Rhinolophus ferrumequinum: one gene and its partners. The protein of the gene in region 3 interacts with the protein of the main gene of each other region in a biochemical or structural test. Links are inferred from orthologs where the notes say so. Each region holds a gene or a part of one and is shown on either strand. Other genes may lie near its edges. The genes, in order: UBE2G2, UBE2T and UBA6.

Region 1 (7,675 bases), on a different chromosome or scaffold from region 3:
ACGTGAGTTTGGGGTTCCTACTGCACTGGGTTCATTAATGTCCGCCAGAATCTGTGACAGTGACCTCATCTGGAAATGGGGGCCTGATGACGAACTCAAGTTCCAATGAGGTCACACTGGACTAGGGTGGCCCTAATTCACTGACCGGCACTTTTATAGGAGGGAAGATGCCACGTGAAGACAGAGGCAGAGACCGGAGTGACACCACCACAAGCCAAGGAATGCCAAGGATGGTGGCAGCCACCGGAAGCCAGAAAGGCGAGAAGGGCCTTTCCCCAGGGCCTTCAGAGGGAGAGCGGCCCTCCTGACACCTTGATGTGGGACTTCCGGCCCCAGAACTGTGAGAGAACACGTGTCTGTCGTGTTAAGACACCCCCTGGTGCACTTTGTTAGGGCAGCCCCGGACACTCAAACCCAAGTCTACCTCTGCCGTCCTGGGAAAGGCCAGGGGAGGAGTGAAGACAAACATCTAAACAAGGCATCCGTTTAAAACACTGCGTTCTTTACCTGGCTCCTTTTCTCGTGTTAAGAACCGAAGCAAATCATTTTGCCTCTCCAGTGTTCAACTTCCTGTAAAAGCGGGGGCCTGGGCAGAATCATAGCCAAGGTCGACTGCACTCCTGCGACGGTGACGGACGGACAGCACGCCTGGCCCTGACCCTGGCCAAGCCTATCTAAGCCCCTGCCACAGGGCAGCTGATTGTGTGGGTGTGCCACCTTGCAGACTGGTAGGAGGACGAACTAGACGCTAAGACACAAAAGACAAGAATCAGTCAGTGGAACATGACCACGTTACTAAGACACAGCAACAACAACACCCCTCAACAACAGACTTCACTTCCTATCGCTCACAGGACAACTCACCACACACTCAGTGGCTTACAGCAACCCCCCACGACGCGCTTCCTGTGTCAGAGGCTGGGCAGGAAGGTTCTCTGCTTAGTCTCACAAGGCAGCAGTCAAGGTGTTGGCAGGGCGGCCCCCCAAACCCATTCCGGGTGTTGGGGAATTTGGTTCCCACGGCTGTAGGATGAGGTCCAGGTTCCTGGCTGCTCGGCCAGGGACCATTCATTCTCAGGTTCCACCTTCCTGAGCTCCTGGCCCCTCTTCCCAGTTCCCCTCCTCAGGACCTCCTCTCCCGCCTCTCCTCTCCTGCCTTCCCCTTCTGTGTTGGGGCCTCGTGCGATTACTGGGTTGCACCCTGATAATCCACGATAATCGTCCTGTCTTAAAGTCAGGTCGTTAGTAAGCCAGTTACAGCTGCAAAGTCCCCTCTCAGCAGAGCCTAGGCTGGTGTCCCACTGCGTAAGCGGGGACAGGGATCTCGGGACATGTGTACACTTCTGCCGGCACAGGCTCCCACGTGCCACATATTAACACGCACACATAATACACTTCTGTGATACAGCTTTGAAAGTCAAATATTATATACATTCCATTACTGCAAACTGACAACATGGTTGAAATAATGGATGAAGCTTTGAGTGAAGAGAAAAATCGCCCTGGCCAATGCAAATATCCTGAGGAAATACAAGTTCAACAAAACAACGACTGGACTGAAGCAGCAGCCGGAACTTCATTCCCGTGAAGGGGCTTAACAGATTCCTTCTCCACAGAAACAAGAAAGATAATACTCACTCGTGGTCTAGAAACAAGGCCAAACAGACTAAGCCAGACACAGAAGCACAGAGCAGGGTGGCAGGGAACCGAAGGACTCCCAGGAGACAGAGGCCACAGCCCCCACCTCACCCCCGTGTCCCCTCACTCTCAAGTCTCCCGGAAGCATCTGTTCCTACTCCAGAGGGCCCAACGTGGAGAGTATTGTCCAAATTATTTTATTGCGCCTGCATCTGCGACAGTTTGCTAATCACCTCTCCCCACGCAGTGCCACCAACATGGTTTAGGAAACTGAGCTGCATGCATATGTATCAATTATTTTCATTAAGTCATTATTTTCAACTTTCTTCCGAAGGTACGTGCAATGTAACTACAACAACAACATCGAACATGATCAAGAGCTACCTATGAGGTCTGTCGTGAGGCGTTCGCGTCTCCAGGTGAGGGACGCGCAGAGGCGAAGGGGCGAGCCAAGGTGGGAGAGCCGGGAAGCACACGCAGGCCCTGCTGTCACCCAGGAGCGGGCTGCCACTCGGGCCCCCAGCTCAGAATGGCACCCCCGGGCGGGTCACGGCAACTGTCCCGGGAGCATTCCGCGGGCTGGACAGAGGGACGGCTCGGGAAGCACTAAGGCGCTTTGCTGAGCACTGCCTAGGAGGACGGGGGTGGCACCGTCCAAACGCTCCGCTCCTTAGGCGAGAAAACCAGAACGCGACCTTTCACCGCGAACTCACCACAACGCGCTTCTCCCCTAAACCGGCCCTTTAAGTTCTCGCGGGCACTTTCGGCTTCGCTGCCCCCTCCCCGCACGCTGGAAGCAGGGAGTTCTCTCCATTACCGAAAGGGCCAAAGCCAGAACTAAGGAACAAACGGACACTGGACGTCACTCCTGACGCATTTCTAAACCAAGGCGGCAGGAACGTGGCCTCGCCCCTCCCGAGCGCTCTCCGCACCACGTACCGACACCGGGAGAGGAGGCGCAGCCCGGAGACCCTGCGGCTCCCAAGTTACCGCCACAAGACGCGCTCGCTCCTCCCGTGCACAAAGGGGCACGCTCCGTGCGGCGAGGAGTCCGACCCCGGGGCCCGCACACCGCCCAGAGGCGGCCCGCAGCGCCCCCGGCCCGCGCGCCCAGGGCCTCTCGGAGCAGCGGCCGGGGACGGGGGCCCAGGGCCGGGGCCGGGGCCAGGGAGGCCGAGCCAGGGCGGCACGAGGGGCCGGGAGGAGGCACGGCGCCGCCCAGGGCTCCGCGCCGGCCCGGAACTCACGTTTGTACTCGGCCATCAGCCTCTTGAGCGCCGTCCCCGCCATCGTCGGGGTAACAGCTGTGCGGTCCGGCCTTGCCTCCGAAGCGCTCGTATCCTCCCGCCCGAAGCCCGGGTTGCTTCCGGGTCGCCGGCCGGACGCAGAAGCCCTTCCGGGGCGCGGCGCGCGCGTGCGCAGTGGCGGGCCGGCGGGCGGGCGCTGTCGGGGGCGCGGCGGGGCCGCTGTGGCCCCGAGGTCGGGTGAGCGGGGGTGACGCCCGGCCCCTCAGCCGCTTTGTGGGGTCAACGCCGCTTCCGGCGGCCCTTATACCTGCGGGGCCCTGGTTTCCCCAGAAGATCCTGGGCGACAGGCGCACACTGTCCCGTCACACTGGCCGCAGGAGGGTCCGATGGAGGACGGGACCGGTGGCTGGGCGATGGACTGCGGGCTGGGCAGACGTCATTCTGGTGGGGTGTTTTTTAGAGACCCCAGGAGGAGGGGTAGAGAAGGAGGCGGCTGCAGTCGCTGAAGCGGCCACTGCACGTGGGCGCGACGGGCGGGCGCGCTCGCCGGCACCCCTGCCCTAGGGGCAGGTTACTGACGCCAGGCCCAGGGGCGAAGGAGACCGGCTCCGAAGACATCCACACATCGATGCCCCGACTACCTCCCGACAGGGGACAGGGGTTAGGTTTGGAAAGAGAAGGTTGGTGACGGTGGTGGCGTTATTCCGCGTCATCGCGGCCCAGCCGGGACTCGGGGTGCCCAAGACTTGGCCCCCACTGGAGACCCGAGCCGCAGCCAGCCCGCTGCCTGCCGAGGATGACAGGGTTCTGAGTAACAGGTGATGTCTCATGGCTCCCTAAGCATCGCACCTTGGGGAGGCCAGCAAGTTAGAAAAAAATTAGTCTTTTGTATTTTGGCAATTAAAGTTCTGAAATATAAAAAGTATGTCACGGCTGAACCCGTGTTTTAAGGTGGAGCATTAATATGCTTCGCCACCTGTAAGTTTATGCAGGACGACGGTGGGGTTTTCAGTGCTGACATGGGGCAGTGCCAGCTGGGATCTGGAAACCAGTTAACAGGATAAATACAGCTATCTCCTCCTGAAGCATGAATTTAACCCAAAGATCTTGGGATTTAGATGTGTAACTTACCATTTTTAAAATATTAATACTGAGAGCTGTTATTCCAAATGCACCATTTGCATAAATTTTAAGAGAAAAGACAACCTCAAGGACAGCTTCCTTCTCCGGTCAGGTGTGGGGGACTTCAGGCAGCACTGCACTGTCGCACCTGCAGCTCAGCACTGCTCACTCCACTGAAGGCACAAATGCAGGGGCCCCTCTGTGAGATGTACCCGCCCCCAGCTTTTCCAGGGCACCTGCAAATGACTCACCCCTGTAATGTGCTTCAGCCCACCTCCTTTTGCTGGTGTAAGCCTGGCTAGAGCGCACTTTTTCCCAGCTACTCTTGACCCTCACCTGATGGACTAAAACAGCTCACTCCCTTTCACCCCTGGTTTTGTCACAGCAGAGTCCACTGGAAGTCCTCTGTCAACTTAGCATCAGTTCACTCAATTTCAAAGAGTAGCTTGTCAACCGCACAGAGGAAAATAGAAGTCTGACAGTCAAGTACCCAACAACGTGAGCCACCCAGCCTGATGTCCAGATCCACTGCCTCCAAAACCCACCCTCTGGGGCGACCGGATGGCTCAGTTGGTTAGAGCACAGGAGCGCGAGCTCTGAACAGGGTTGCGGGTTCCATTCCCACATGGGATGGTGGGCTGCACCCCCTGCAACTAGAGATTGAAAACAGCAACTGGACTCGGAGCTGAGCTGCGCCCTCCACAACTAATTGAAGCACAACTACTTGGAGCTGATGGGCCCTGGAGAAACACACTGTTCCCCAATATTCCCCGGTAAAATTAAAAATAAATAAATAAATAAAACCCACCCTCTCTTCACGAGACACCGAGGAGACACCCAGGAGAGGAAAAGTCCATCACAATGCATCCCAATGCATCCCAATGCCCGTTTGGCTCACCTGTCACGGAAGAGCTTCGGGAGGAGACAGGATGGCCCCCTCGGCCCCAGCCCAGCAGGGGTGTGGGGAGGGGTGCAGCAGGTGGATACTTACTTTTCAGCAACTAGCCTTTAAATGGAAGTCTGGGTGGCCTCGCTGAATGGTCACTACAAATGCTGAATTGTGACAGTCAGCCCCAACCTCCAAATGCAGTATTTAATACAAGAGACAGAATACCAAACTATATTTACTGTTTACAGTAGTAAAGGACAACAAAGAATGTACAAACTGGTGAATTAACATGGCCAGCAGACACCCCACCCACACCCCAACAGCAAAACACAAAGGAAAGGCAAGATTCCGGGCAAGCAAGAGATGACAGTCATGGTCGCACTGTCCAGGTGACAGAACGAGGCAGAGCAGGGCCACCAGGCAGCAGTGGGTCCGTACAGAGGGAGGAGGGGAACTAAAAGTTTTAACAGGTACAGATCCCCAAACGTTTCACAGACTGAAGTCACAGCTACGGTTTGGGAAGCAGCAGAGCACAGCCCTCGAGAGGGACAGGAAGTTGTCTCTGCACAGGCCGTGTGACCACACTTGGAAACAGCTTTTACACAAAACGTCACTGCAAATTCAGCAATACTTAATCGTACTTTTTTATATCAAGACCATAATTATTCATCAGAAGCAAATACCAGAAGAAATCTGAGCGTACTATCACCAAGTGAGAAATGTGGGGACTGCTTTCCTCTGTAGTAAAAGGGGAAAAGCCCATTTCGCTGTGCCAGGCTTCGCCCATGCAGTGTCACGGCCACTGCACCCACCCTCACCCGAGGGGACTCTGGTGGAACAGAGCACCCAGGGCCATGTTACTGAGGGACTCACTTATTTTCCTTTTTACCTTTTAGAAAACATTCCAATATTCTCCCTTCAACTCTACCATATTCTCACAAAACTTAAATTTGTAACATTTGGCATTTAAAAAAACCTGTGCCTACAAGAAATAGTTAAGTGGAAGTTTGTCTCCCACCCCCACCATGCCCCCCGACTTGTCCCACAGAAGCACCCCCACTGCAGTGACGTGAGCCCTCTATGTGACTGGAATAAGCAGTGGCGGGGTGGGGGGGTCAATACCTGGGAAAAGATCCCCGTCTAGACTAACAGTGGACCTTCAGGCCACAAGCTTGGGGAAATGTCATAGGAGGTGGGGGGGAAACAAAAATGAGAGCAAAAACAAACCCAAAAAACTCACGCTCATTTTCCTAAACAAAATGACAACTGCCTGGCCAGGTATTAGGCGAGGGTGTGTCCCTGCAGACAGTTCTGAGTTGCACCCGCGGGACGTCGCAGAGGAAAGGAATTTTGGTGGAGGTCCTCGGTTTCCGCAGACTCCTTTGTGATTCGCATGGTCACGTATTCACTATTCAACAGCAAACAAGGACGGTGACAAAGTGGGGCCGGTCCCTCTAGAGGCCGCATCCTGCGCAGCAGCCAGTCTTCCAGGAGCCTCCCGTCTGCTGCTGGAACACGTCAATGGTGTCTTCGTCCTCCATCTCCAGCTGGCAGGGTCGACGGGACAGGCACAGCAAGAGAGGGGGAAGCTGTTAGTTGTCACTCCATCAGAGGTACGGACACTGCTCTGAACACCGTGCCCACTGCAGTCCCCCTCACTAATGCACACCACCCCCCGCACTGGTCAACACTGCCCGATCACACCTATGCTCCGTGGCCTCCTCCCCGGGTCACAAGCAGGGAAAAGGCTTTGTCCAGAATTTCCTATAAGCCACTTACTCTCCAAGCTTCCCCTAACGAAATTCACAAAAGAATATTCAAAGCCGACTTTAACTGATAGCAAGGAAAACTAAGCCTCATTAAAAAATGAACAAGTATCTCAAATTCTTCCTGAAAATTAGACAAAGATTCCAATAAGGAACATCCAGTGAGCGGGGCCTCTTCATAACCAGGGCAGTGGGCGGTGCCTGCGGGTTCCAAAGCAAAGCCAATGAGCAAAGGACCCGCTGGGAGGGGCCACTGCTGCCCCCCCGCCCGGCCCCTCCCTGTCATGACCAGGCCCTACATGGGGCAAAAGCTCCCCACCTTCGCTTTCTGACAGCACGGGCACAGATGTCTACCTGATGACTGTCTATTCACGAAACTGAAGGAAGCTGCTACCAGTTTGTACAGAGACCAACCGGGCAGTAATGTTTCCCAGAAATGTTCTCAGAAATGCAGAGAAGTACCGTCTGGGCTGGCGGGTGCCCCAGACACCACGTGGGCGGGAGCCAGAGTGACAGGCGGGAGGAGAGCTTTCTAGCCCCCACAGTGCAAGCCCCCGAGGAATCCTCACAGAGCCAACCACTGTCTTAGCAGCAGCAGAGTCCCTCAAGAAGGTGGTAGCACGTCGCCTGCACATAGCTACTCAGACTGATGGGGACTCTGAAGGACCAGACACTCCAACAGAGTCTGGCTCTGGACTACGATGCCGTCGGGCTGTTGGGCTGGCGAAGGACAAGAACACAGCTTGAACCTCGGCCTCCACCTGCGACTGAAGCCTGCGACACGCTGGACCAACACTTACAGACAGGGTGGGGAGGGCAGGCGCTTACAAAAGCTAAGTGTGCCATGGATGACATGTGCACACGTCTTTCCACCCACACCCCTTGTGTGCAAATGCTCAGGGCAGGAGGAGCAAGCCGAGGGCAGGGACAGTGACTAATGCAAATTCCACGTCTAAGTCCGTGGGCCCCGCCCACCTGCCGGCGCCTTGCCTGACAGGGAGGACAGTCTGACC
Region 2 (6,978 bases), on a different chromosome or scaffold from region 3:
GTGGGTGTCAAGCCAAGGACATATAGGAGCTCAAAACAGAAGTTGGAATATGAGGGCCATGGATAGGACACGGCCTGCACATCTGATTTGTCTGGACTGCGGACTCTAAGCACTTCGTTTCCTGTCCAGCCTCACAGATATGAGATAAATGCTGCTTCAGAGCAGAAGCCCAAATCTTGGCTACACGTGAGCAGGTGTAACGTAACGCCAAAGAAGAAGTGCCAAGCCAACCTTCTATAAATGCAAACAAGCTCAGGGAAGGCCAGTGGGCAGCTGCCCTCGCACTGTTCCCCACTTCACAGGAATGTACAGATCCCAGCACCATCAGCAGCGCCATGACCCACCACCAGCGTGCTGGTACCTACGCGCACGCAGATTGCCCATCTGGTCCCCGTCTTGCCAGCATGTGATGCCCGGCGGTGGCTCCGCAGCTAATAGGTCCAGCTCTCTCTTCAGACGTGATGCTCTCTGCATGATCCCCAAGTAACAGGAACCCCACACAGTTCACTAGGCCACACGAAAAGCTGGCTGGACTCTAGGGAGAAAAGGGACAACCATGAAATAGACGGCACGGATGACGGGGGTTTTTAGCACATGGCTTCAATTAAATGAAGGACAGAGATTCCTCATACCAACCCCTATTCTGAGAAGGGAGTTGGAGTCTTTTCCATTCCTTCTTGTTACCTATTTAAGCAAACAAATTTTAAAAATAAAGTATAAAAGATGCAAAAAGTCCTACGAACAACAAGAAGACTAGCTATTTTAGATCGAGGTCTGTTTCCACTGATAAACTATAAGCTCCTGAGGCAGAGCCGGGGTCTAATTTTGCTCACGCAGCATCCTCAGCACGGCTGGCACAGAAAGGGATGGACAACTACCAGCTGCGGGAGGAAGCCTACGTGTGCGTGGCAAGGAGAGTGACACAGACAGAGCCATGACTCTGAGACATTTATAAGCTAATGCTGAAGTGTCTGAGGTGGATGTAAATGTAACTGATTTGTAACCAAAAGTTTAACAATGCAAATGATGATCTACTTGGGTGGTGAGGCTGGGGTTGATAACTACACAGCCAGCCCACAAGGCCTCACTGGTTTCTTCCCTTCCAATCCTTCTCCTGCCTGTAACTCCCAGTGCCAAGTGGAATAGAAGAGCTGTCGCGTATGGAAAGATGCCCAACATCGTAGTCACTAGGGGAAATGCTAATCAAAACCACAATGAGCTAGAACTTCACACCGCCAGGATAACTATAATCAAAAAGATGGTGTCTAGTGTTGGAGCATGTGGAGAAACTGGAATCTTCATACGTTACCGGGGAATGCAAAATGATGCAGCTGCTTTGGAAAAGAGCCTGCCAGCTCCTCCCAGTGTTTAACACAGACGACCTTGGGATCCTGCAGTTCTACTCTTAGGTTTACACTCGAGAGAACTGAAAACACACATCTGTGCACAAATCTGTACACAAATGTTCATAGCAGCATTATTCATAACAGCTAAAAAATGGAAACAGCCCAAATGCCTGTCAGCTAACGAGTGAAAACACAAAATGTGCATTTAAGAACTATATAAATGACTTCAAATCTTGCATTTCTAGCATCAGTAAGGATCTGAGTCACTTACATTTCCAAATTATACTTTACGATATTTTGAGGGAAAATTCTACAGTATATTTGAAGATTCAAAAAGATCTCAAGATAGAGCCCTACTAAATGTCAAAGATGCATGATACGGTATATATAATTAATAACTTTTATTAGAAAGCTCTTAAATGGCAAAGTTCCTATTTTCTTTCTTTATTGCTTAGGTGACTGTTGAGTTAATAAATGATTTCAAATAAATGGTGAGAGATCAAGTGGGCATGTTAAGAAAAAAGGCCACCTTTTCAAGGTAGGCCTTCCACGGACACGTGGTCTTGGCGTGGTCCCTGCCATTTCAGATCTGGTTCTCAGTTTTGTAGCCTAAAAACTCAGTTTGGCAGCAAGCCTCAAGTCCACACGGCTTATGTGTACTAGGTCATGCCAGGGTCACTGACAAAGCCTTAAACAGTAATTAAAAGGTCAATTTATTAATCTGTGAAACGGCAGCAACAACTTTAATCCCACACATTCTCTCCCTAAACTGTTTGTACTTGGAGAACTACCGAGAACAGAAGCTGACGCGGTGGGCGTGGCCTGCGGTGACTGACAGGTGTGCAGGGCGGTGCAGGGGCGGGGTCAGGACTCGCGCGGGAGCCGCGGCCAAGGTGAAACGCACGGTCCTGCGCTCGCCTTGTCCTCATCTCCAGGCTCGCTGCTCCTCCACGAGCAACACGCTCTTTCCGAAACATTAATGCGGTCGGAGAATTACTCTGGATACTACACCCGCCTTGCACATAAATTCCTCCCTGAACCACTTCCAAGCTTCCCCAACGCCGTGAGGCCGCGAGGCAGCTGACGTCACCGTCTGCAGGTGCCTCTTACGGACAGATTGCCACGACTTTTCTCAGCAAGAGCCTCCCCGACCTCAACAGCAGCAGCGCCAGGCACGCGGGACCGCGGCCGGCAGGCGCGGCGCGGGGGGCGGGAGGGCAGCTTCTCTAAGGGGCCCCCACTGGCCCCCGGCCCCCGCTTCTGTGCTCGCGCCGAGCGGCACCTGGCCCCGGGGCCCCCACGCCGTCCCCCTCTCCGCGCCGGCCGCCGCCGCTCTCCGACGGCCCGTCACGGGGCGCGGTCCGGGGCGGGTCCCTGGTGGCGTTAGGTGGCTTTCCCGTCAGCGGTGCCTCGCGCGCGGCAGCCCCGTGGTGCGCGGGGCCCGAACCGACGCCGCCAGCGAGCGTCCGTCCGCCCGTGCGACTCCCCACAGGCCGACCGCCCCGCCGCTCCACGGCCGCTCTCCCGAGGGCTCCTCCTCGGACGGAATCCACACGTCAGGCAGGAGGGGGACTCACCCCAGACCCACGGGACCTCCGCAGGGACCGGAGACCGAGCCCCTCGCTCCCGGAGCCGACCGCCTCTCCGCGCCAGCCCGACACCCCGGGGCCACCCGCGCATGCGCCGGCTGGTGTTGGCGTCGCCCCGCCTCCCGCCCGCGCGCGTCGCCATTGGCCCGCGGCGACGCAGGGAGACGAGCGCAGCCGCCCATTGGCCCGCGCTCTGGGGCGCGTCGCTTCAAGTGGGAGCGCGCGACGCTGCGGGTTCCGCTGGGACGCCGGCTGCTCTGGTCGGCGAGTGCCGCCTGCGGCGGTGCTGCTGCTGAGGCCGGTTCCGAGGCCGGCTCTGTTGGTCCGAGCGGGGCAGGCGCTGGGAACAGCCTCGCCGGAGGGACAGTGAAGGGAGCGGGAACACTGGATCTGGCGCGGAGGATCGTGGTACTTCCCGTCGTTTGTTTTAAATGTTTCCCTTTGGAGGAGGATGTGCTTCCGAGGACGCGTCTCCTAAGACCAATGGATGAACGTGAAGGATTGCAGATGTAGCTCAGCGAGGCGTCCTGGCCGTTAGCACTCAGAACGGAACCGGCGCCCCCGGGACGCGGCGATTCCTCCCTCACCGCGAAGGGATCCTGCGCCGGGCCGATCCTTCCGGCTCCTGAGCCGGGACGTGCCTGCTGACATCAGCCGGCGCAGCGAAGGCCCACACCTGAGGGGCTCCAGAGGACCGGCTGGAATCGACCGGCCTCTGGGAATAGACCCCCAGCCGCACCCCACCCCACCCTCATCTCACTGCTCTCAGCGCATTGCCGGCTTCGGAACAGTGATCGCTTAGCAGAGACGGCCAGTCCCCCAAAGGGACCCCGGCGGTGATTTCTGCTTTCAGTCCACGCCGGGTCCCCCGTGACCACCGCACGGTCTGTGCCCTCTGCTCGAGAGACCCACACATTCACCAGGGCTCTGCCCGATTCCCGCCCTGGGCAGCCTCACGCCGGTCGGCGGAAGGGACCACCTAAAGCAGCTTGTGGAGGACAAACGTACGGGGTCCTGCTATCGTCCCGTGTAGCTCCCGGCTGGCATCGTCGTGAAGTGTTTGGGTCCCGACTCTGGCGTTGGCTGCCTCTGTTCTGACTGCCGTTTTCTGGCTTAACCCTTCAGGGTCTTATTTTCTTCCGACGCCAAGTGTAACGGCGTCTCAGGTACAGTTCTGTCTTCAGAACTGACATCGAGTTCTTCCTCGGGCGGTTCTCTTTGAAACGCGCCTTAAACGTGTCTCTTAGAAAAAGCAGGAACTCCATTGAGTCTGGTGGAAAGGAGAGCTGGGAGGACAAAACGAGCAAACACCTGCTGTTCCGGCCACCAAACCGAAAGGATCGGATAAAAGAAAAGCGGAAAACACTCCTCGGGCTAAATGTGCAGTTTCCATTTGTCCACCAGAGGGAAGGATGGTAACTGGTGGGAACAGAAGCCAGGCTGCGGAGTTTCATACACTGTGTACCGGTCTCACTGCTTTTGGAAGCAGTATTCGAACACTGGAATTTACTTTACGTTTCTTCACTTTATACAAGAATATATATATATATATACATCATAGCCAGCTCACTATACATTTAAATGTCCACAAATTATATCTTGTAGCTGTAAGTTAATGCACATAGTAAGGGAAGCAAGGCTTTATAAAGTCTATATTATGACACCTTTTCATGCCCATTGCTTGTTGTTCACGGTTCACACAGACGCCGTAAGACTTAATTAGAAGCTATAAAGTACCTACTGTGTGTACGACTGCCCTTCTCCGCGCGCACACTGACACGGTGATACCTGCATGTTAATGTATTATATGTTATAATGTTAATAAAACTCTAGACCAGGTACTTTAGGCCGAGTTTTCCCCAATGGAAAATAGGGATAATTACGGCCTCTCTTCCACTGCAAAGAAGAGCTGATGTGATAATTAAGGAGCCAAGTTTAGTTTAGAGTCATAGCAAGAATAAACTACGACTCCCAAAATGCCCAAAGAGCTGCCGCCGGTCCAGGAGCCTGTTCCAGCTTTAGGGCAAAGGTGACCCCGCCGCTGGGTCCCGCGGCGAAGCCGCGAGCTGCGGGCACTCGCCCCTTTCCTGATGCATCCAGGGATTTGTGGTTCCCTGCAGACCACGGGGCGCCCCTGGGGCGGGTCTCGGACTACAAGTCCCGTGACGCCCCGGGGCGCGGCGCGCCTGCGTGCTGAGGCCGCGGGAACGCGCGGCGGCGCTGGCGGCGGAGGAATAAAGATGGCGGCGCGGGCGTCTCCGCCTTCTGCCCCCGGCTGACGCGCTCCTGGGGAGGCGGCGGCGGCAGCGCGAGCGGCAGCGACCTGGTGGCGGTAGTGCAGCCGCGGCTGCCGAGCCCGAGCGATGGCCGAGCTGGAGCACCTGGGCGGGAAGCGGGCCGAGTCGGCGCGTGTGCGGCGGGCGGAGCAGCTGCGGCGCTGGCGGGGCTCGCAGACCCAGCAGGAGCCCGCCGAGCGGCAGCCGCGCACCCGCCGCGGGGGCCCCCGGGTCCGCTTCGAGGACGGCGCGGTCTTCCTGGCCGCCTGCTCGAGCGGGGACACCGACGAGGTGAAGAGGCTTCTGGCCAGAGGAGCCGACATCAACACGACCAACGTGGACGGCTTGACAGCGCTGCACCAGGTAACCCTCGCCGTCCCTGCAGGTGAGCCTGCGACCCCGAGGCGCCGGCGCGGTGGTGTCCGCGCCCGCCTGCTGCGCTCACCTGGCCTCTGCCCGACCCCGGGGTCCCCACCTGCCTGGCAGTGTTTGGACTTCCCTGCACCTGCTTGGGTTGTCATGGTTACTGGGGGCTCGGGCCGGGCGTGTCCCTACGATTAGCCATCTTCACTCGCGCAGGTCCGCGTGCCTGGGCGCCGTGTCCCTGCGTGCGGGGGCAGTGCCGGCCGACAGACGCCCTTGCACACAGCTCCCTTTTCTGCGTGGGGCCCCGTTCAGGAATCTCAGGTCCCCGAAGGAGTGAATCCCAAGTTGGGGGTACGAAGCGGACCTTCCGAAACCACACCTCTCGTTTGGCTGATTTGTAACGATTCGAAAGCAGCTTGTCTCCTGCGGCCCCTGCGCCTAGCACCCCCTGACGTCCTGGCTGCCCTGTCTCACTCTCTTCTTAGCAGTTCCCTCCCTGCGGGCCTTCTGAGCCACTTGTGTGTGTTTGACCTTATGGAATGGCCTTTCTCGTTTTCTTTCCCCCAAAGCCCTCTGTAGAAACCCCATGCTCTGTATTTAGCGCAGTCCAGACCGTGGCTTGGTGACACCTTCACTTCTCTCACTGTGCAACAATATTCTGCACATACGCCTGTCCACTAACTCCACCCTCCCTCCCCGAGGGGAACTTCATAGTTATTTTGGTGAGCTGCGAGCTGGACTCCCGCTCTTAATCTTTCTTATTTTCCTTCTGCTGTCAGTGCAAAGTGAATGTGTTGGCACAGGAACCCACTTCTAAATAATACGTCAATTTTGTGTCGTGGCACTTCTCTCAGTGGATCAGCCAGCAGCTTAAAATTACTCCTCACCTGTTTGCATCCTTTCTCTTCTCTTCACCCTATCGTGTCTGCTGCTTCTCTGCTCATAACTGTGCCCTGAAGTAGCAACCAACACTTGTATGGCTTTCTGCTGTTTGAACTTATTTCTCATGCCTCTCCCCATGGGAATCTCAGCAGTGACCCTTTGAGGTAGATGTGCCAGGTGGTGTGTTTATTCCCAGGAGAGGAATCTGAAATCAGCACCATGACCTGGGCAAGATCCGAAAGGAGAAAATTAAGCATGGACTTTTCAGATTTAAATTCTAGAGCTTTACATCCCACCTAACAAAGAGCTGAATATAAATATTATGGATGCTGATAGGCCCACGTTCGTCATTTTAAATTTCTGAACTCTGAGAAGGTGGATATTATTTTTCCCGTGTCCCTGGGATGTTAAGGTTGAGATCTGATTCCGGGAGGGACCGTTTCATGGGCTCAGAGAGCACCGAGAAGTCCATGTGTTCCTTCAGGGATTCACTGTTCTGCCGGAGCAGTTTTCTTAGTC
Region 3 (7,542 bases):
TGCCTACGCTTTCTGTGTGTACTGCAAAATTACAGCCCATGGTTATTTTCTCAGGTGTTGTTTTATCATTGCTACATATATTCTGATGAATCTATATTTTAACAATTTTGTTGGCGTGCCCCATAAACTTCTAATATACAGTATTCCTAGATAATCTTATTTGGTCCTTGGAATTTACCAATATACTGATAATATCTAAACTTATTACTCCATGTTTGATCTCTCCTGTAACCTCCAGCTTTTACACATCTGCCAAAGCAGTATCTATATTCTGTTGTTCAGTTAGTATCACAAATATAACAAGCCCAAAACAGAATTCAATCCCCCCTGCTTAATCTACTCTTCCCCAGTCTCTCCCAATTCAGTTTTTGGTACTACCATGTACTTGCTCAGGCCCAAATATCTAGGGATCTTAACTTTTTCCTTCATTTTCTCCATCTCTGAGTCCTGTTAGCTCTTCAAAAGAGATCTTAAATCTGATCACTTCTTATTATTTCAATCAGCATAATCTAAGGCCAAACCATCATCATATTTCACCTGCTGTATTTTCTTCAAATCACTTATCATTAACTGTGTATTAACTGTCTGCTTTCCCCTATAGAATGTATGATCCGTTAAGAATTCACTACTGTAAAAAAAAATTCACTACTGTATTCCATATACCTAAAACAGTACCTCGCATTTAATAATAACACTGTGCTCATATTGTTTTAATGCTTTAGATGTTATAACTCAGTTAACCCTTACAATAACTTTATGAAATAGGCACTATTACCATCTCCACTGAATAAAGGGGGGGAAAAACGAGGGTGACAAACGTTAACTTAAATAACCTGCTGAAAGTTAGGGCAGGTAAATGGCAGAGTCAGAATCTGAACCTCAGCAGTCTAGCTGTTGACCAACACTCAATACTGCCTACTGCCTCTCATAGTAGGAATATCAAAAACACTCAAAAAATATGTTCAATGAGTTTTAAAAATTAAAAAGTTAAACATACTAGTATGACAAGACATACTTATAATGATATATATCATTTACCGCAGCCCATGCCAATATCTTCACAGCATGGCGTAGAAAGAAAAATGTTAATAGGATAAACACTGGGAAACAGAGATGGTTCCCTGGCACAGGGAATCAGCCTGAGGCATTTGGGCCTGAGCCACCATGACAGCTAAAATCAATATCATCTTAATAAAAGTGTAATATTGTGTTTCCCCAAAAATAAGACCTAGCCAGACCATCAGCTCTAATGTGTCTTTTGGAGCAAAAATTAATATAAGATCCGGTCTTATTTTAATGTGATATATTAATTTAATATATTAGACCAGGTCTAATCTAATATAATACCGGGTCTTATATAAGATAATATAATACCAGGTCTTATGTTAATTTTTGCTCCAAAGGATGCATTTGAGCTGATGGTCTGGCTAGGTCTTATTTTCGGGGAAACACGGTTATCTATTCCAGGTTCTGGGAAACTCTAATTATCAATTACAGGATTCTAGAAACAATGTGATAGAAAGAAATTCAGTTTTAGAATCCAGTTTTCTAGGCCTGGTATTGATATACAAGCCAAAGGATTTGTAAATATAGTTAATCAAAATGTTATCATTTATCTTACCAAACACTGAATGGTAGCATCAAATGATACCTGCTTCTAGCTAATTAAATGGGTAACTATTAAAAATATTCCTGATTGTAATCATGAAATCAAACCAGAAAATAGCTGTGTTTGTCAGTTATCTAATAAAAACACACGCATACACTATAATACCCTGTTTTGGCATTGTAACAAAATATGAAAATAAAAAAATTACGTCTCACACAATTTTCTTATCCCTAGTACTTTCACTTGCTGTCTTCCTTGCATGGAGGGCAATAGCCTAGTGGGTAAAGCTCTTAAGTAAAAATGAGAAGAGTTACATTCTAATCAGCTATATCACTTAAAATGTCTGTCACGAGTCTACTTTTCAGAAAGTTCTGCCTTACTGGAATGTTTCAAAAATCATTTTTTATAATAAGGTCTATATGTTAATCAAAAACGCTTTACATAAGGGGAGTCGCTGTACTGCATAATATTCCCCAAGTGAATCTGGCAGTGTTGACAACAGCAGGCAATATCATGGTACAAAAATCATCCCTTTCAATCTGAAGCTGGTGAAAAAGTTACAGGTTTATGAAAGTCTTACTTTAGCTCAACATCACATACCCATCACCTTTAGCATATTGTATTCTGGTAATGGGCAGGATGCAACATCTCCTTTATTAATTATGAGGTGATTGAAACAAGAACTATACGAACATCCCACCCACTCCATAATTTTGCAGCAGTGGAAAAGACGTTTAGAACCTCAACCCCAACTGGGAAATAAAAATGAGTAACTCGTGTTTCTTTTCCCTGATTTTTTTTTTTAACTGTGGTCAACAGAGGACCTCAGGGTGTTCTGACAGCCACTGATTTCATTATTACCAACTTCTCTCTGATAATAGTTTTCAAAGGAGAAACTCCATGGAGGATCACGCACAGAACTTTTAGCTTTCATTTTACCAAAAGGAGGGAAGAAGGTGTTAGGCAACCAGGTCTGGGAAAGCTCACATCAAACGACCCGGGCCAGAACTCTCGGCTGGAGCCCTCCCCCCGGCACCCTTCCCGTCCGGTAACTAGGAGGAAGGAGGATGGCAGACCCCGACCGCAACTGAGAAAGCGCTGAAACCGATGAGAAGTGGACTTTTTCCTCAGAGACGCCGGGAGCCGCAGAGGTCGGAGCGCAGGCCGCCACACCCACCCCGCGCGCTCCCCTCGCCTCCCCGGGCCGGCTCTGCCTGGCCCCGCGGCCTCACGAGAGCTCTCTCCCCACCCGACGGGGAGAGAAACAGAAAGCTGGCGTCCGGGTCCCCGCCATCCCTCGTTTCTTCGCTCCCACACGCGTCCTCTCACCTGCCGGCTCCCCATGAAGAGCAGGATGCCTCTTCCGGCTGAGGTGCGACCACCGGTTCGGATCTCTCCATGGTCCAGTGAAGTCGCCGCCTCCGGGTACAGGGAAGGGGGCGGGACCGCGGGGGTCAAGGGGCGGGCAGTGACATCACCGGAGGGGGCGGGCCTGGGGAGCGCGCAGGCTGGCCGCGCCTTCCCATCAACCCCCGGGACGTCGTGATTTCCGGTTTGGGTGTGGTCTCGGAGGGGGCTTTGCAGCAGGTGGCTGCAGTGACCGGCGCTGGTGTGACCCGGATCCGCAAGTGAAATCAAAACAGTAAAGTTATGCGTGGTCACCTCTGGCTCATCGGCCAAGCACAGAGCATTCTAGTGGCCAACGAAATGGTGGGGCTGCGTAGCAAAATTCTTGTATTTTGTAGCGAGAAGAGGAAACCTCTTCATTTCGTAAATAAATAACGAAGATTAGTAATAGGCAACTCCAGGTTTCCATCTGAAATTTCATTTTAAGACGTTGTACGTTTAACAGATAATTTTGGGCGTATACTACATGTCAGGCACTGTCACAGGTTTAAAAGAATCGTGATATTGAGAGCTATAAATGACATGTCATCAGTGTGCCCCTTCACTTTTTGGGTGGAGGAAAGGAACTTCTAGTCAGTGTAAGTGACTTGGTCAAGGTCAAAGAGCTGGTCACAGAGCTATTCACTGTCAGGTTAAGTACCAGAACACATGTCTAGGAACTTCTCATCTAATTCTTTTTCCATTGACTCCCCTTCACCTTTCTTAGAAAACAAAAGTTAGCGGGACACTATTATATTAGGATTTGTCTTTCATTCTAAATAACTATATTTGAAGAAACAGGTGTAGGATTAAAAAATTAGCATATGCTTTGACTTTGTATATATTATATATCTTTTGCAATGCATGATATTTTTACTTAATTAGAACTTCTTCCTCTAGTGTGCAGAGAGGGTCCAGGCAAAGCTGCATTATCCTTTGTGCCTTTCCATTCTCTTTTCAAAATTATACATCTCCAAATACCTGGAAACTTAATGCTGTTCACCTGTGGCATCTTTCAGATTTCTCAATCCAGTTGTGTACCTTTTCTACATAACCACTAGAATGACCTTGGTCTATGTCCCATTCTTTCAAGGTTCTGCTCTAGCACTAACTGTATCCCTGTCTTTACTCTTTATTCTAAAGTTAATAAATATAAATATCTTTGTCCCACCCCACAGATAATGCCAATTTCTGTATTTCCTTCCAATTCCCCCCTCATTTCTTTCCTTCCTAAATATTGAATACCTATTAAACGTTAGGAGCTAATGATTAGACAATAATCAGGCGATAGACATACAGTGATCCCTGATTTTGTCAGTCTCACTATGGGAAGCCAAAAAATGTAAAATGAATGAAATTATAATTTCAGAAAGTAAATATAATGAAATTGAAAAAGGGCAAGGAGATAGAAAGTGACTTGGGGATGAGGCGGAAGACAATTTTTGATAGTCAGACAGGTTCTTTGAGGAAGTGACATTCGAGCCAAAACCTAAATGGTGTGAGCCCTGCTAGATATTCTAGCAGAAGAGTATTCTAGACAGATGGAAATGCAAATGTAAACTTCTTTTATTTTCTTTTTTAGCATCCACCATGTTTCCCAGAAAATTAGACCTCGCTGGACCATCAGCTCTAATGCATCTTTTGGAGCAGAAATTAATATAAGACCTGGTCTTATTTTACTACAAGACCAGGTATAATATAATATAATTAATATAATATCGGGTCTTATGTTAATTTTTGCTCCAAAAGGTGCATTAGAGCCGATGGTCTGGCTAGGTTTTACTTTCGGAGAAACACGGTATCACCTTCTGGTGTATATTTATTTGTTTATTTGTATATTGCCACTCTACCTTTAAAAGAGACTGGGCTTTCCTGGAAGGGGAATTTGATGTGAGAGAGATTTTCCCTTGCTGGCTTTGAAGAGGGAAGGGAATGCATGGAAACAAATGAGAATGGCTTCTAGGAGCTGAGAGTCGCCCCTAGCTAGCAGTCAAAAAGGAAATGGAGATCTTGGCCTACAGCTGCAAGGAACTAAATTTGGTCAACAACCTCTGTGAGCTTGGAAGAAGAACCCAAGCTCCAGATCAGAACACAATTGGCTGATACATCGATTTCAACCTTGTGAGGCTCTGGGCAGAGAACCCAGCTATGCTGTGCCCCAATTCTGACCTGCAAAACTGTGAACTAATAAATTTATGTGGTTTTAACCCACTATGCTTATGGTAATTTGTTATACACAGTATGATATGAATATACTGCATTTCATCTAAGACCCACATTTCTTCACATTTTAACATCCCTGAAATTAGAATGCATTTTTTTTATTAATACAGAAAACAATAATGTTCTTAAAATTGAGGTCATCTTACATTTGATGAAATATGGTGTGAATAATTTCAAACATACAATATAACAAATACCTGGATTTAACAGATTTTAATGTTTTATCACATTTGTAAAATGGAAAAGAAAATTGGAATATCACCAGACTTTGACAGTGAAACTTTTTTGACAGAAGAGAATGGAATAACATTTAGAATACTCAAGGAAAAAAGTGTGGGCCAAGGAATTTGTATCTAGCAAATCAACTCTCATGTACAAAGGGTATAAACTATTATCAATGCTTGATATGATACCAACATTTGATGAGACTATTGTTCCCATGAACCCTTCCTAAAGAATTATTAGAGAATGATCATCAGAAAACTAAAATGATTAGAGAAGCATCAGCCTAAGGATTCTTTACAGAAGATTTCTTTACGGAAAATATCAATCTGTTGTGTTTACTAGCTTTTGTGTTCCCTTTAGTTTATTTCTGTGACTAATTTTCCTGTTTCTGTCACCTCATTTCTGAGTTTTTCTGATTTCTCCCAGCTTTATTGCAATATAATTGACAAATAAAACTAAGATATTTAACGTGTACAATGTGATGATTTGATATAGGTATACACTGTGAAAGGATCCCCCATTGAGTTGATTGAGATTTTCTAATTCCGAATCACGTTCTTTCATACCGTGTATCATTTTCTTAATCTCATTTAGCTAGTTTCAAAATATTAACTTACAGTTTTGATATATTTTTGTGGCACATCTTTCAGGCATACTTTCATTATCTGTAATGATGATGTTATGTTCCTTACTCTCTTTTTTCCTATAATAACTGTATAGGACAAAAACCTGATACTTTTTGGTTGCTCATTTTTATGTGACATTAATGTTCCTGAACTTTTAATGTGAGACAGTCTTCCTAGTCCAATAAGCCTAGGTCCATCAAGAACAAAACTGTATCCCAAGAAAGTCAGGTTTCTATCCATTGCAAGGAGGTACTCCAACATTCCAGAAGAACCATGAACTGCCTCACTAAATGTTTAGGAGAACTTAAAATGAAGTTTTAAAATGTTTTAATAGGCTCAAAAGGAAGCAAGGCTGTATGTAAAGGGTCTACGTTAGGTCTGGACTGCAACATGGACCCAGGATGCTTTTTTTCTTGAAAACTAAAAGGTTAAAATAGATGTTTCCACAAACACTTTTCTGAAGTTCTGCCCCTGGATTGGAAGTAGAGGCTATTTCTTTGCATCATAATTATTTAGATCTTCTAGCCAAGAGTGGGATATTTCAATTTTTTAAATGGTTTTTATTAAAATATAGGTAGCATACAATATTATATTAGTTTCAGGTGTATGTCATAGTTATTCAACAGTACCCACCTGGCACTATACATAGTTATTAACATATTATTGGTTATATTCCCTCTGCTAAAGAAGTGATCACCACGATAAGTCCAGCAACAATCTGACACTGTACCACACTATCACAATATTACTGACTGTATTTCCTATATTGTATATTACATCCTCAGGACATACTTGTTTTATACCTGGAACTTTGAACCTCTTATTCTCCATTAGCTTTTCTCCCCTTTTAGAATTTTTCAATTATAGTTGACATTCATTATTATTTTATATTAACTTCAGGTGTGCAGCATAGTGGTTAGACATTTATATAATTGAAGAAGTGATCGCCTTAACTAGTACCTCCCCTGGCACTATACATAGTTATTACCACGTTATTGATTATATTACCTATGCTGTGCATCCCCATGAGTATTTTATAACTACCAATTTGTATTTCTTAATCCCTTCACCTTTTTCACCCTGCTCCCAACCTCCCTACCATCTATCATTCCAACAAATCTAGTACCCATCTGACACCATACATAGTTATTACAGTATTATTTACTATACTCCCTATGCTATATCCTACACCCCCATGACAGCTGTGTAAGAACCAATTTGTACTTCTTAATCCCTTCCCCTTTTTTACCCACCCCCAAACCCCCTCCCTTCTGGCAACCATAAAAATATTCTCCGTATCTATGAATTTGTTTCTGTTTCATTTATTTTGTTCTTTAGATTCCATTTATAAGTGAAAATATATAACATTTGTCTTTCGCTGTCTAACTACACTCAGACAATACCCTCTAGGTTCATCCATGTTGTCACAGATGGCAAGATTTCATTCTTTTTTTACAGCTGAGTAATAATCCA

What was found.
Region 1: the proteins of UBA6 (region 3) and UBE2G2 form a complex in vitro, tested with the Homo sapiens proteins (2 studies listed by BioGRID, with this or other methods). The link is inferred for Rhinolophus ferrumequinum from reciprocal best matches to the Homo sapiens genes UBA6 and UBE2G2.
Region 2: the proteins of UBA6 (region 3) and UBE2T form a complex in vitro, tested with the Homo sapiens proteins (2 studies listed by BioGRID, with this or other methods). The link is inferred for Rhinolophus ferrumequinum from reciprocal best matches to the Homo sapiens genes UBA6 and UBE2T.

Annotation. Positions count from the first base shown.
Region 1 is NC_046285.1:107,865,903-107,873,577, forward strand, and holds the start of UBE2G2 (ubiquitin-conjugating enzyme E2 G2), read right to left. Parts: upstream 3,010-7,675; 5' UTR 2,929-3,009; coding exon 2,886-2,928; intron 1-2,885. Other genes in the region: SUMO3 (small ubiquitin-related modifier 3), read right to left, coding at 6,351-6,443. UniProt on the Homo sapiens protein: Accepts ubiquitin from the E1 complex and catalyzes its covalent attachment to other proteins. In vitro catalyzes 'Lys-48'-linked polyubiquitination. Involved in endoplasmic reticulum-associated degradation (ERAD).
Region 2 is NC_046310.1:425,954-432,931, reverse strand, and holds the start of UBE2T (ubiquitin-conjugating enzyme E2 T), read right to left. Parts: upstream 3,046-6,978; 5' UTR 2,924-3,045; intron 685-2,923; 5' UTR 637-684; intron 536-636; 5' UTR 475-535; coding exon 366-474; intron 1-365. UniProt on the Homo sapiens protein: Accepts ubiquitin from the E1 complex and catalyzes its covalent attachment to other proteins. Catalyzes monoubiquitination. Involved in mitomycin-C (MMC)-induced DNA repair.
Region 3 is NC_046288.1:26,811,306-26,818,847, forward strand, and holds the start of UBA6 (ubiquitin-like modifier-activating enzyme 6), read right to left. Parts: upstream 3,048-7,542; 5' UTR 3,010-3,047; coding exon 2,939-3,009; intron 1-2,938. UniProt on the Homo sapiens protein: Activates ubiquitin by first adenylating its C-terminal glycine residue with ATP, and thereafter linking this residue to the side chain of a cysteine residue in E1, yielding a ubiquitin-E1 thioester and free AMP.